2 linked regions of the Drosophila melanogaster genome follow. The protein of the gene in region 2 purifies or fractionates together with the protein of the main gene of each other region. This does not show direct contact. Each region holds a gene or a part of one and is shown on either strand. Other genes may lie near its edges. The genes, in order: Tep4 and CG4949.

The links.
Region 1: the proteins of CG4949 (region 2) and Tep4 purify together in Drosophila melanogaster (affinity purification with mass spectrometry, with the first as the bait; one large-scale study listed by BioGRID). This does not show direct contact.

What each region holds. Positions count from the first base shown.
Region 1 is NT_033779.5:19,548,073-19,555,910, reverse strand, and holds the start of Tep4 (Thioester-containing protein 4), read right to left. Parts: upstream 6,219-7,838; 5' UTR 6,066-6,218; coding exon 5,983-6,065; intron 4,230-5,982; coding exon 3,498-4,229; intron 3,439-3,497; coding exon 3,012-3,438; intron 2,956-3,011; coding exon 2,618-2,955; intron 2,550-2,617; coding exon 1,996-2,549; intron 1,942-1,995; coding exon 1-1,941.
Region 2 is NC_004354.4:17,077,057-17,081,919, forward strand, and holds CG4949 (uncharacterized protein), read left to right. Parts: upstream 1-1,783; 5' UTR 1,784-1,877; coding exon 1,878-1,952; intron 1,953-2,011; coding exon 2,012-2,530; 3' UTR 2,531-3,366; coding exon of another isoform or gene 3,367-3,530; 3' UTR 3,531-3,623; coding exon of another isoform or gene 3,624-3,813; 3' UTR 3,814-3,902; downstream 3,903-4,863. Other genes in the region: CG8945 (uncharacterized protein), read right to left, coding at 3,367-3,530, 3,624-3,813, 3,903-4,264; CG4955 (uncharacterized protein), read left to right, coding at 4,528-4,863.

The sequences.
Region 1 (7,838 bases), on a different chromosome or scaffold from region 2:
TCTTAAAGCTCGGCTTCGGCTCCTTCTCCACCAAGTTGTATTGGTAGCTTATCTGGACCATAGCAGCTCCAGTTCCCTTGGCTTCAAACTCCAGCGACTTGGTGCCCTGTGGGAACTCGACTGTCTGGAGGAGCAGGTCATTTTCCTCCGATGTGTTGAGCTTCTCGGTCTTTTCACGCTTTCCCTTGTTGGAAACGGTCACCTCCCACTTGGCCGCCTCGTAGCCCGACTTCTCAGCGAACTTAATGAGGGCGGTGAGGCCGACAACCGTGTCCTGGCTGGAGGCAAATCCTCCGAAGCCATTACGCTGGGCGATCAACCAGCGAACGGTGTTCAGAACAGAGTCGGCTGTCTCCTGGTCTGAATCCAGAAGGGAAAGCAGCGCATATGATGTGATCTCCACATCCTGACTCCAGATCCAACACCACCAGCGTCCGCAGTTCTTGGAGGCACGCAGCTTATCCAGATCCTCGGTCCACCAGGTGCGATCGTCCTCGTGTTTGGCCAGGGACTTAAGACTGGCCACCTGCTTGGCAGCTTCCGGCGCCTTGGCCTTTTGCAGGGCATAAATGGCAATGGATTTGGGCAGGAGCTCAATGGACTCGGCAGTATTGGCGCTCAGATAGGCAACCGCCTTGTCAATGGCAGCCTGGTTCGGTTTCTCCTCCTCCAGCAGGGCGAGCAAGGAATTTGCGGTCAATGTCAATAGAGATCGCTGGGAGCTATAGAAATACTCTCCGTGTTCCGTGAAGCTACCATTTTCTGCCTGTCGAGTTAACAGGAATTCGTAGCCCTTGGCCAGGATCTGCTCATCCAAGTCAATTATATCCTTGATCTTGCTAAACGAGCGCAGCACATAGGCCGTCAGCCAGGTGGAACCATTGCGCACTGGATCCTCCTGCCTCCATTTGGTGGGCCCAAAGGAACTGAAGCTGCCGTCGTCGTGGCGATAGTGCAACATATGTTGGTATCCGTCCTGCAGATTCCTCTTGATGCGAGTGTCCAATGCAGGTGTGAGTTTCTTGATGCTCTTCAGATAATCCCTCACCAGATAGTTGGGCACCAATTTGGACATGGTCTGCTCACCGCAACCGCTGGGCAATCGCAACAGGTTCTCAAGGTTCTTGACCACTGGTCCCAAGAGATCACCCACCAATCCGAATTCCACACGCTCGGAGTCGGGGACCACATCCTCCGGCACTTCCAGCTCGAAGGTGTTCTTAAACTCACCCGTATCCTTAAGATTGATAAAGAATGCCCTGTTCTGGTACTGGGTAATTCCTTCGGGCACTACCTTTAGCGGCTTGTGTATAGCATCTCCGGCCAGCGGTGAGATGGCCTTGAATTTCAGCAAAATATTTCCAATGACCTTGGGTCGGATCAAAAATGAGGCTCCTGCCGCTTCGTTGGCGCCCACTCTGATGTTCTGCGTACGCTTCTGGTCACCAATAACCTCATTCGAGGCATCCACGAAGTCATACTCTTGATCCTCGTTGTCCAGGGTCAGTTCCACGTCCAGTGTCTTGGGCAGGTAGTTAAAGACCAGTGCCGGTACATTGATCACCTCACCTCGCTTCACGGAGTATGGCAATCGAACGGAGACAAAGAACGGCTGGAATGTCTTGATATTTGTCTGATCATTGGTGACACCTAATCCCTTCTGGGGATGCAGTGAAAAGCCGGTGACCACCCAGTTGGTGATCGTATCGGGTATGGTCTTTACCCACTTGAACACCTCCTCCTCGGTGCTCTCGATATCGGCAAAGATCCAGGTCTCTGCGAAATTCTTTCGCACTACTGGTGCTGCAGATGCAGACGCACTTTCGGCGGAGAATCCCACGGCCTGAGTTGGTCCGCCAGCACCGGAATGGAATACATGACTATCATGTGCCACTGTAGTCTTTCTCATGGCGAAAGAGCTTCCACCAAATCCTTCTGTAACTTCCAATAATTGCAAATTAATGTGGTTTATTATTATGACAAATTTATACGTACGAATATTGTAGTCTGGGGCGGTGCGATTATAGAAGAAATAGGCATTGGTCATAGTCACGACTCCAGTTCGCTCTCCGGGGTAGTAGGAGTATCCACCCTGCCAGGGAGTTGAGGTGTCATAGCCATTTAGGCGCCAGTTGAAGGATTCCTTGTTCAAATCGTTGTTGCTGCCCAGCAGAAGGACACTCTGATCGACGGCCAACAATCCAACGAATGACTTTGGCGACGTCTTGATCTCCAGTGCAACGTCGGCACCCGGTTTAACTTCCGCGGGAGCCTTGATTTCGATCTGGTTCTGCAGCTCGACCTCCACACTGAATGTTTCCTCGGTATATCGGAACTCTCCTGTCTCATCCACGTAGTAGAAGTACACCCGACCATAGGGAGTAGTGAGGAAAGTGGGCTTAATGGTTACGTTGACGGTCGTTTGGGGTTCCGCGAGGTCCACACGTTTCGTTTCCAATATGTTTCCACGTCCCACAATGTTGTACACAAAGTATTTGAGCGGACGACTGGAGTTGAGGATTACTTGATACTCCTGCCCGATCTTGAGGCTGCAATAGAAGTATTGTATATGGTTATTTAAAATCGTGGAACCCTTGCTCAACTCAACTGTACTCACTTCCAGACGTCCTTGGGCCTCTGAACTTCTGCCCTGAACCACTCCTTTTCCTCTTCAGAGCTAGGATTTTCAATCTGTTTTGGTTCCCTGTAGGGATAAGTGGTGTACAGATCTCGTTTTTCATCGACGAACTCCAGCTCAATGCTATAGTAACGAGTAAAGTTGGCGATATCCGGCAAATCGGGAAGAACCACCTTGAAAGGCGCCACACCAGACGCATTCAAATGGCTTTCAAACACAAACGTTTTCTTCTCAATCGTTGGCAATTCCGGTTCTTGATGATCTGTTCCAAAGGCATAGAAAGCATAATTGCGTCGAATTCCTTCAGTGAACTTGGCCTAGAGTTAAAACGAATTTATAAGTAGTGACAGATCTCTTAAGATTTCTAACCCACCTTCACAACAGACTTGGTGTCTGTAATTAGTGAGCCGTCGACATATGTAATCTTGAAGTTAAGTTCATGTTCCTTGTCGGGCTTGAAGGAGAAGCAACTGGAGTAGTCAGTGCAGGACATCTCATACCGATAGGGGTACAGCTGCACACCGCCTGTTTCATTGAGCTTCACGCCGGTGAAGTCTTCCTCCACGGTAGCCGTAATCTGGGCATATGAAGAAGAGGTCTTGTGCGGCAGATAACTGGCGAAGTCCTTGAGATCCATGGTCAACTTGGCCTTGCCTCCGACCATGTCGGCGGTGCCAACAACAGAATGTCCGGGGTAGTCCGTTTGCACTGTCTTGCCGTCCACATTCTCCCAACTGCTCGTCGAGTCCAGATGGACATTGACAAGAACTTTACCATTCACGGGCTTACCATAGGTGTAGCTGGGGGATAATGCTGATATAAGAATGTCCTAAAGCATAAAACTTCCGGTAATACTTACTTGGCCTTCAGGACGACATTGAACTCGCCATCTCGCACTGAAACCTGCTGCGTGGCATCCATTTTGACGGAGTACTTGGGCAGCACGTACTTCTCCACCTCAAAGTTGACGAGCTCATCCGAGCGATGCCAGCGATGACCAAATCCTCCAAATTGTTTACGACCCCCAAAGTAAATACCTCCGTCGTGGTGCTGATCTCCATTCTGAACATGAAGGGACCAGGAGCCCAATGTGGCGAACTCGGAGAGCTCGAATTTGCCAGTGTAGACGCCACCGGTGGTCTTTATGTGTTTCTCCTGCTTGATGCGGTTCCTTTTGGAGTCCTCAAACCAAACCACCACTTCATCCTTAGCGGTATCCGGCCGCAGGTTCTCGTCCAGGAAGATCACACGATAGTTGATAGTATCACCGGGCTTGTACTTTCCCTTATCGGTCTGGATTTTAATGTATGGCTTGAAATTCTCCCAGTTCAGCTTGGTGGAGTTCTTGAACTCCAGTCCCTTGACGCCCTCCGCCGTCAGATTATATTCACCCGCCTCCAATGGGGGCAGTTTGAAGGTGATCTGCTTGAACTCACCGGCAGTGGCTAGTTCCACGGTCTCAGTTTTGTTGTAGGAGGGTCCAGTGATGCCCACTTTCAGGGTGACTGGCTCCTTGGTCTGATGGACAGCCACGGCCACATTGTAGTCACGGTGGGAGTGGATGGTTCCGGGACCCACAATGGTGTACTTGCTGGAAGCAAAGAAAACATCAACATTATTGTCATGAAAAACAAAATAAAATCAAATAACAATTCGGCCATAAAAAATTCCAAGAAGAGAAAAAAACATACACATATCCACTTGGAAATATTTGTAGTATTGTATTTGTATAATATATAGTATTGTATTTCTTGATAGTAACTATAGCTATCAATATTCAAATTATCAATATCAAATTCTTGACCATGCTCTAAGAATTCAAAAATAAATGTATATTGTCTAATCTCTAGGGAAACACAGAAATGAAACTTAAAACCATTAACCTCGACTTGATAATGTTCCCAATCTTTAAAAGGCAGTCTAAGATTCGGTTTAGGTTTTTGAGTTATGGTTTTTTTGATCTGTGACAGCAAATGATGAAATATATATGTATATATATATATAACGGATAATATTCCCAGAACCTGATCTTCTACTGAAAAGTATGAAACCGGCTTAGAGATTACATAATTCCAGCTTTTGCGATTAGCAATCTTTCTCGCACTTACAGTCCCCGATCACGTACACCAATATTGTTAGCCTGAACATCATTAACTTTTTTGGATTAGATTTGTTCCAGCCTTTTATGTTAGACTTCAAGTTTATGACATTTTTAAGTGTGTTCCATAACCCACCTTCATATTCGTTTCTAATTACTAATAATTGGCGGGACAGGAAAAAGTACAGATTTAAGATCGTGTGAAAGATTGATCAGCGAAACCATTGAGGCAAACAAAGTATGTGACGTGATCCTCTTGTTTGAGTAAAAAATATAAAAATCCATATTCAAAATGGCTTACAGTGAAACTCAATTAGCATCATAAGTTGAGCTCAACAAAAATGAAGAAAATAAAACACCCCTCAACAAGGTGAGATTAAAGTGGCGATGGCACCTTCAACTCAAAAATTAAATACCAGATATTAGTTCGGAGTAACTAAACCTCTTTAAAAAAGAAATTCTGAATATTTTTGAAGTGAGTGAATAGTTGTGATCGGACTATCGTACCAGATTTTCAATTTTATTGAATTTCCCCAAATTCACCCTTTTAGGTGCTCATCGTCACTACGTGGACAGAAGTCTAGTGTTTAATCTTATAGGTGTGATAAGGAACGATGTTTAACATTTGCTATATACATAATTATATATCTAAAAGTTAAATTACTATTTGAAAAATGTAGAGCAAAATGTTATTAGGTTAGTGATTTGTAAAAACCGTAAAAAAACTCTCCTATAAATCCAAGGACAAACCAGATGGTATAAACAATTAAGCTAATAGGTGATTTTGCGTATAAATAACAGCTTAATTACCTTGATGTTCATTAAAAACGGCCCTATCTGTATACATATATGCATACCTAATTAATTGAAATATTCGACGACAGCCATACAGTGACTGTGAATATAATAGTGGTAATAAGTAATAAACATAGATAATATAGTTTGGATTGCAGTAATCTGTGTTTAAGTGTTCGAGTGAGACGGGAATCCAACCACTAGCGTATTAGGGAAATGGTTAAAATTTTTAGCCATCAGTTTTTATTCAAATTATCAACCGAATAACCGAAGTAAGAACAATACGTTTTATAGGCCAGCTTTGTAAAGAACTATAGTTTTAGATATCTGGCTTTGATTATCGCCTATATTTTTGCGAATTCCTAACCCGACTCTACTAATACTCTAACCGTAGATGTGTTTTAAAATCGATCCGATCATATAGTATAGTATTTGTGGTATATGGACTTACCCCTCGGCTTTTACCGGTTCCATCGTCTGCAGCAAGGCCAAAATCACACAAAGCGAGACAGCAAAAGCGTCTGCGCGACGCATTTTGATTGGATTGGTGGTCAAATGAGGGCAAAAAGGATGGGAAATAAGAGCACAGATATTATAAGGCTATAATGCGCGGGATCGATGCTGGCGGAAGTTTGGTTAGCGACTGAGCGACTGCGACCGACTGGGATCAGAGCCGAGCTGGGACTGGTTCGGTTCGATGGCCCACGGATTTGTTATAATACCGAGCGACTCTAAAACCCCAGGCCCGGCAGACGAAGCCGAGCTCCAGTGGGGCGAGCAAGTCGTAAAAAAAAAAACTGATAAAAATTATAAGTAAATAAAACTGGCAGAGTGTGTGTTGTTGTGGTGTGTGTGTGTGTGTGTGTGTGTGTGGCGGTGTATGTGGTGCGCCCACTGAAATCGATGACGCGAGTTGGGCAAACAAAACCTTAACAATAATAACATGGCCACAAAAAACGCCGGCACTCCAATATCAATATTCATTCGTGAGTATTCACTTGGGCTAGTTGCCGCTGAAATATCATTCGTAATTTGATTTAAGAAGGAATTTATGGGAATTTACTGGTCAAAGGGATCAAAGATGATTATTTCTAATTATCATATTTACAAATATTACATTTGTGAGTATTCACTTGGACCAATTTCAGCTTAAAAATCATTCGTAATTTGATTTTAGAAGGAAGTTAGGGGAACATACTGTTCAAAAGAATACAATACAGGATGGATTTATGGGAATTTACTGTTCAAAAACACCAAAGATGAATGTTTCTATTTTCATCATATTTTCAAATATTGATTCGAGTATTCACTCGGGCCAGTTTCAATCATAATTGGACTAATAAATGGGAAATAGGGATTTACTGCTAAAAAATTGCAAAAAATTAATGTTTCGAATTTCACCATTTTTAGAAATGAATATATTATATGAATATTACGAATAAAGGGCGAACAAATAGGCGTGACTGTATAGAAGAACAGAAAGTTGGTATTACTGATTGCCCATGAGTGATATTTCAGTTATTTGTCACAGAACTATCGTCATGCAATAGTCAAATTATAACAACTTATTCATATTTCGTGTGGGGTTTTTCGATAATTAACACTTTAATTGTCACCAATAACTGTCGCTTCGTGTTTCGCAATGATTTGAAATATAGATTTTCCTTTTAAATAATTTACGTACATTATCTGGTTTTTGGAAAAGCCCAAATGATTTTTTGCGAAGATCTCGCGTAAAATCCCAATATATGAATTGAATACAAATATTTATGTTTTTGTCGTGTGGCAAATGACGTGCGTGCAATATTATTTGGACTTGTTGATTTGCAGTGTTAACGGAACTGCCTCCTAAATCGAAATACGGAGACCAACTGACTAGGCGTTGTGTACATATATATCGAAAACTCTTTCCTGCTCTCTCTGAGTCAGCTGTTGTTGTTTTGTTAGATGTCGCTCTCTTGATTTGCCGAATGATGACGTCACTTGGCTGTATTTCACACTGCCTTGCAAATGAAACGGGTATATAATGTAGCGATGAGTAATGCCAATATATAAGAGATATTCGCTCAACTGCGTTTCTCTTGGTGATTCCCCGTTTGTTCTTTCTCTCGTGCGGTTCGGTTCCGTGTAATCTATAAGTAGTGATATTGGGTGATATGAATACGCTGCAATCTAGGAAAGGAATTAGCTTTAAAACGCTGTAATTTCATGATTAATTAAATTGTGGTGATGTATGGTGAATTAATTTGCTTGTAACAAGTAATCTTCCTTGGCTTTCACCCAGAAAGTATACTGCCTGCAAAATAC
Region 2 (4,863 bases):
GCTGCTGCTGCTGCTGCTGCTTATGCGTCTGCTTCCTCTTCTCCTTCGTCGACTGCTGTTGCTGGTAGTGCTGCTGCTGCTTCCTCTTCTCGTGGAGAAGATAATGCAGCCTTATTCCGATTTTATCCAATATTCTGGGGCCTTTGGCGCCTCCTGTTTGCTCCTCCTTTTGCCTCCACCGCTTCCTCTTCTTCTTCTCACCTGCCAAGGCACGCTCGCTTGTATGTGTGTGTGTGTGTGTTGTGGTCTGCTTGTATGGGAGGCTCTCAGTGGCATGTGTGTGTGTGTGCTTTTCGTCTGTGTGGCCCGCTGACTCGGTGTTTGTGTGGCGTATATGTGTGCCTGAATTGCGGTCGCCTTATTATCGGCTTATTTTGCTGCCTCCTAAAAGTACAAACATTCATAGCAATCCTTTAGACAGCTTCCTTTTTGTCCTCTCCTTAATGCAATTAGCATTCGGAACGCCTTTAATTTTTCACTTAAAGCACACACGGCATTCGCCTCTGCGTGCACGACCGTGAGTGACTGTGTGCGTGCGTCTGTGCATGTGTGTGTGGTGTCGCTTGATCCGTATTTCGTTTGACTTCTTTTCAATTTTACTCCCTTTTTTTCTTGGTACCTTACCGCAATTCGCAATTTGCCGCTCGCCTTCTTTGCTGGGCTGCAATCGCCGCATTTATTTGCTCAGCATTGAACGACAATTGTTTAATTATATGCCGACTTGCTGTGTTCGCTTTTTGGCCTCTATACTTGATGATTTTTTTCAATTCTTTTGCATTACGCTTTGTGCGGTCTGTTCGTCGGCACGGCTGTGTTGAGTTTGCCAGCAATCGGTCGCTGCGTGCGGCTATCCCTCTCGCGCGGCACGCTATGCGGGTGCGAGAAGAGTTCGGCTATATGTGCCAATTGGCTGGTTGATATGGTGGACTCTAGGTGGCGCCCCGTTTGTGGTATTTTTTAGTGCCTGACACCGCTAGGCGTTGGACGGATTGCAAAATGGTCACTCTGTAGCCGGGGATGCCAACTAGGTTCGCATTTAAATTCTTTTTTGGTTACTGTTAAATAATAAATATATATATAAAAACATAACTTTTAACTTTTAACTTTTAATTTGACTTTTGTTATTGTACATATTATGTATATACGCAATAGCTGATCTTTATAAACTTTCGATGATACTGAAATAGTTTTAGATATAGATAGTTTATATTAATTTATCATATATTGCACAACATCATTTCGATAGTATCGCATAATCATTTCGGGCACACTGCTCAAGGGTATTCCTATCGGATGTATTGTTTCTCGATAAGCCGACTTAAAAATTATATGTTTTTTAAAAAAAATTATATATACATATTTACACTTGAGAAATAAGAAAAAGCATTTGCATATTATTAAATTCAATAATTTTTTAATTTAATATAAAACAAAAGAACAAAGAATGATAATTCAAACTGAAAAACAATGAGATTTCTTTTCATATGCAAGATCTTAAGGTGGTATAACTGGTAATAATAATTATTTGACCTGCTTTGCTAAATGCCCTTTCCGACTCCGACGAAGTTGTCCATCGACTTGCGTCAGTTTCACCACAAACCCAAAATATATATGACTGCAAGCTAATATTTGAAAGTAATTAATTATTTGAATTAATTAAAATAGTTGAAGAAATTCTAGTGATTAACCTAAAAACATCGATAGTCTGAAATAAGCATCGATGTTTGGAATATTTAAAAAAAAACCTCGGTGCATCGATATTAGCATCGATGTTTCGGCACCTCTATTAAAAACTCATCCCGATACCGATAATAGCGGCAGAAGAATTTTAGAATTCCTTAAATATATATTGTTTAATTTGTAAGCATTTTTAAGGAATGAGTTTGAGCGACTGCAACAATAACTATATATATTTGACGGGCAGTGAGGATTACGCCCTTAATTTGGCAAAGGTAAGTTCTGAACATCGGATTCAGGTCGGTTTTTGAACATCAAATTGCATTTCTTTTAGCTATGCGAACGCTTTGCCACCAAAGAAAAGCGCGTCTTACTGATCACCAGTCGCCAGCAGGGAATGGCAAAGCGCTATCCATGGGAGGCCCATAACTGCAGCAAATACCTGACCATTCTGCAACTGGTGGATGTGGAGAGCACCCCGCTTCGCATGCTGGAAATGCAGGATAGCGCCGAATCCTTGCGCAGTCCCGATTTGATAGTCTTTGATCTGCAGTCGCTCGTTTTGGATGCACTACTGCGTCCTGTGATGCAGCAGTGCTCCACGAACAAAATGGTCCGGCAAATTGCCAAGTGCTCCGCATCCTTTGTGAATTACCGCGAAATCCTGGCCAATCTGGCGGAACAGAAGGCGGGCAAAAGCATCGACACCATTGTGGTCATGTCGCAGGAACCGTATCCCATGTCAGCAGCCCAGTTCAAGCTGCTTATTGGACTCTATTTCCACGGCAACGAGTGCCACACGAATTTTGCCAAGCTCTCGGCCAAGATCATGGTCTCCCAGAGATTCGCCTAGACGAAGGACAGAAGTTTGGAGCCACTACAGTGCCTTGGTAACCAGTTCCTGAGTTTAATCATAGCTGGCAGTATTGTAGTTATTCGCCGTATGCTCTTGCTTTTCAAACAATACTTACTTAGAACGTTTACCTTATGCATTATTAAAACATGCATTTTGTCAGGTTAGACGAATATTTTCAAAGCTGGAACGAATTTTCCAATCTCGAACGAATTTCGAGTTATTAAGACTGCATTTCCATTTTATTGACTTAAAGCTATTCATATTGCCTTCCCAAAAGATATCCAAATGGGGAACGGTCGAATATTTAAGAAAATGAATTTATAAAAGGCAAGGCACGCTATATTATATCCGCATATAATACTAAGACAGTGCGTACATTTGGCAAGAACTTAAGAAATACTGTACGTTGAAAATATCTCCCTACATGGCATCCATGCAAAATGTTATACGAAAGCGAAGCAATCGAATGCTCGATCAAATATAAGACTTTATTATAGTATACTATTTAGTCTAAAAGGGATTAAAACTACCAAAAAAAAATTGCTGATAATTAATTATAATATACATACATATAACAATAATATTTATTATGCTAAACGGAAATCTCAACTTAAGGGAATTTATATGAAATAAAAAAAAAATTTCGAATGCATAAGATACGTAAATGCAGCTAAAAGTATTGGAGAATGTATTCCGGAAATACGGCTAGTGATCTCCGGAACGCAAGCCACCAAAGCCCGTTTAAAAGGAACTAAAACTCATTCACATGTAGCCCCACCCCAAATCCCTGCTGCCTTCGTCTTCGATTGGAATCCGATCTCCGCATCCCAGCCTCATATGTAGTCCAGCATGCCGCTTATGATCTCAAAGGCATCCCGAGCCGTGGGCTCAATGGCGCTGCTGGGCAGCAGATAACCGTGCACTCCGTTGTCCGCCAGCTGGAGCGTGTAGCTGAAGGGAATTCCGATCTCGTAGGCGGCAAAAGCGTCCGCACAGCCTGGATAAATCAAGGAAGCCAAAGGATTGGCAAGGTCGGATAAAGATCTCTATTATATTCTACTTCGAAGCAAATAATATAAATATTACGCACCCGATCGCTGTTCAATTAGATCGTTGGATGCGTCGACCTTATATCGGGACTTACTACCCTTTTTGCGCAATCCATCGGTACCCACCATCGCCACGTCCAGAAAATCATCCAATCTTTCTGAATTGAAAGTGGAATTGGCCTTGACCGGATAGGATATCACCTGACCATAGGCCTGTAGGGAAATGTAAAGCTGCAAAAATAATGAATAAAGTTAATAAATCAAAAAATATATCTATTTTAGAGAGTTAATATAAAAATTATATATTGTTCTAAGCATACCTTTATCTGCGTCCTATAGTCCATAAGGAACTCAGATACTGCCTTGGTTTCCGGTTCAGAAAATGGCGCTGGACCGGCGTAGAACTCATTGCAGGGTGCCTTGGAGCTACCCCGTTTGCCCCAATGATACAGCCAGTTTCTGTCCAGGTCCACCCCGTAGCAGACCTTATCCGGACCCCGTTTTTGCTGGAGCCATGTCATCGCCGAGTCGAGGAGGCCACTGGGAGGTGGAGTCTGGTGCTGAGATCGCGACTTCTTCCAGAAACGATCGTACTCGTGGCTGTACGCATATCCGTCCGGATTCAGGACCGGCATTATGTACCATGTGGTGTTCCGGATGAACTCCACGTCCTCGTTGCTTTCTGTTGAGTAAACGTTTTATGGGTTATTTTTATACATAACTTTACATAATGCATATGAAATAAATGTTAATAAATATTAATTCTCTTAAGAAAATAAATACGTTGTTCAACCGATCAACGTAGCCGCTTTTCCCCAACTCAAATTACATTAGTTATCCCTTTGTCAGTCCGTTAGTCAGTATATTTGTAGACCCAGAAATCGATAGTGTATACTTTAGACCTTTACAGCTTGCCACTTCTCCTCCAGTTGGACCAAGATCAGAATGGAGAGGCGAAGACCCCGAAAGTCCTCGCGTAAATACGTGTGCTCCAAATCAAACTCTTCAGTTGGAGGAGGAGTAGAGGAAGACAGTGGCTCATCATTGCCTGCCACCGCCAAAGCGTTACTCCTCCAGCCGGACGGTAATAAAGCACCAACCATGACATCCCTTCTGGGCGAACGACTCAGAAGAGTTTCTCGCATCGCAAGAGCTCCGCACAGCCTACAAGTTACCGAAAATCCAGAAGAAGGTGGAGCACCAATCGTACCACTAAGAGAATCCGGCGCATCGGAAGTGTCAGAAGTAAATCCGGGGGTTATGGTCATTCCGGAGTCGGCC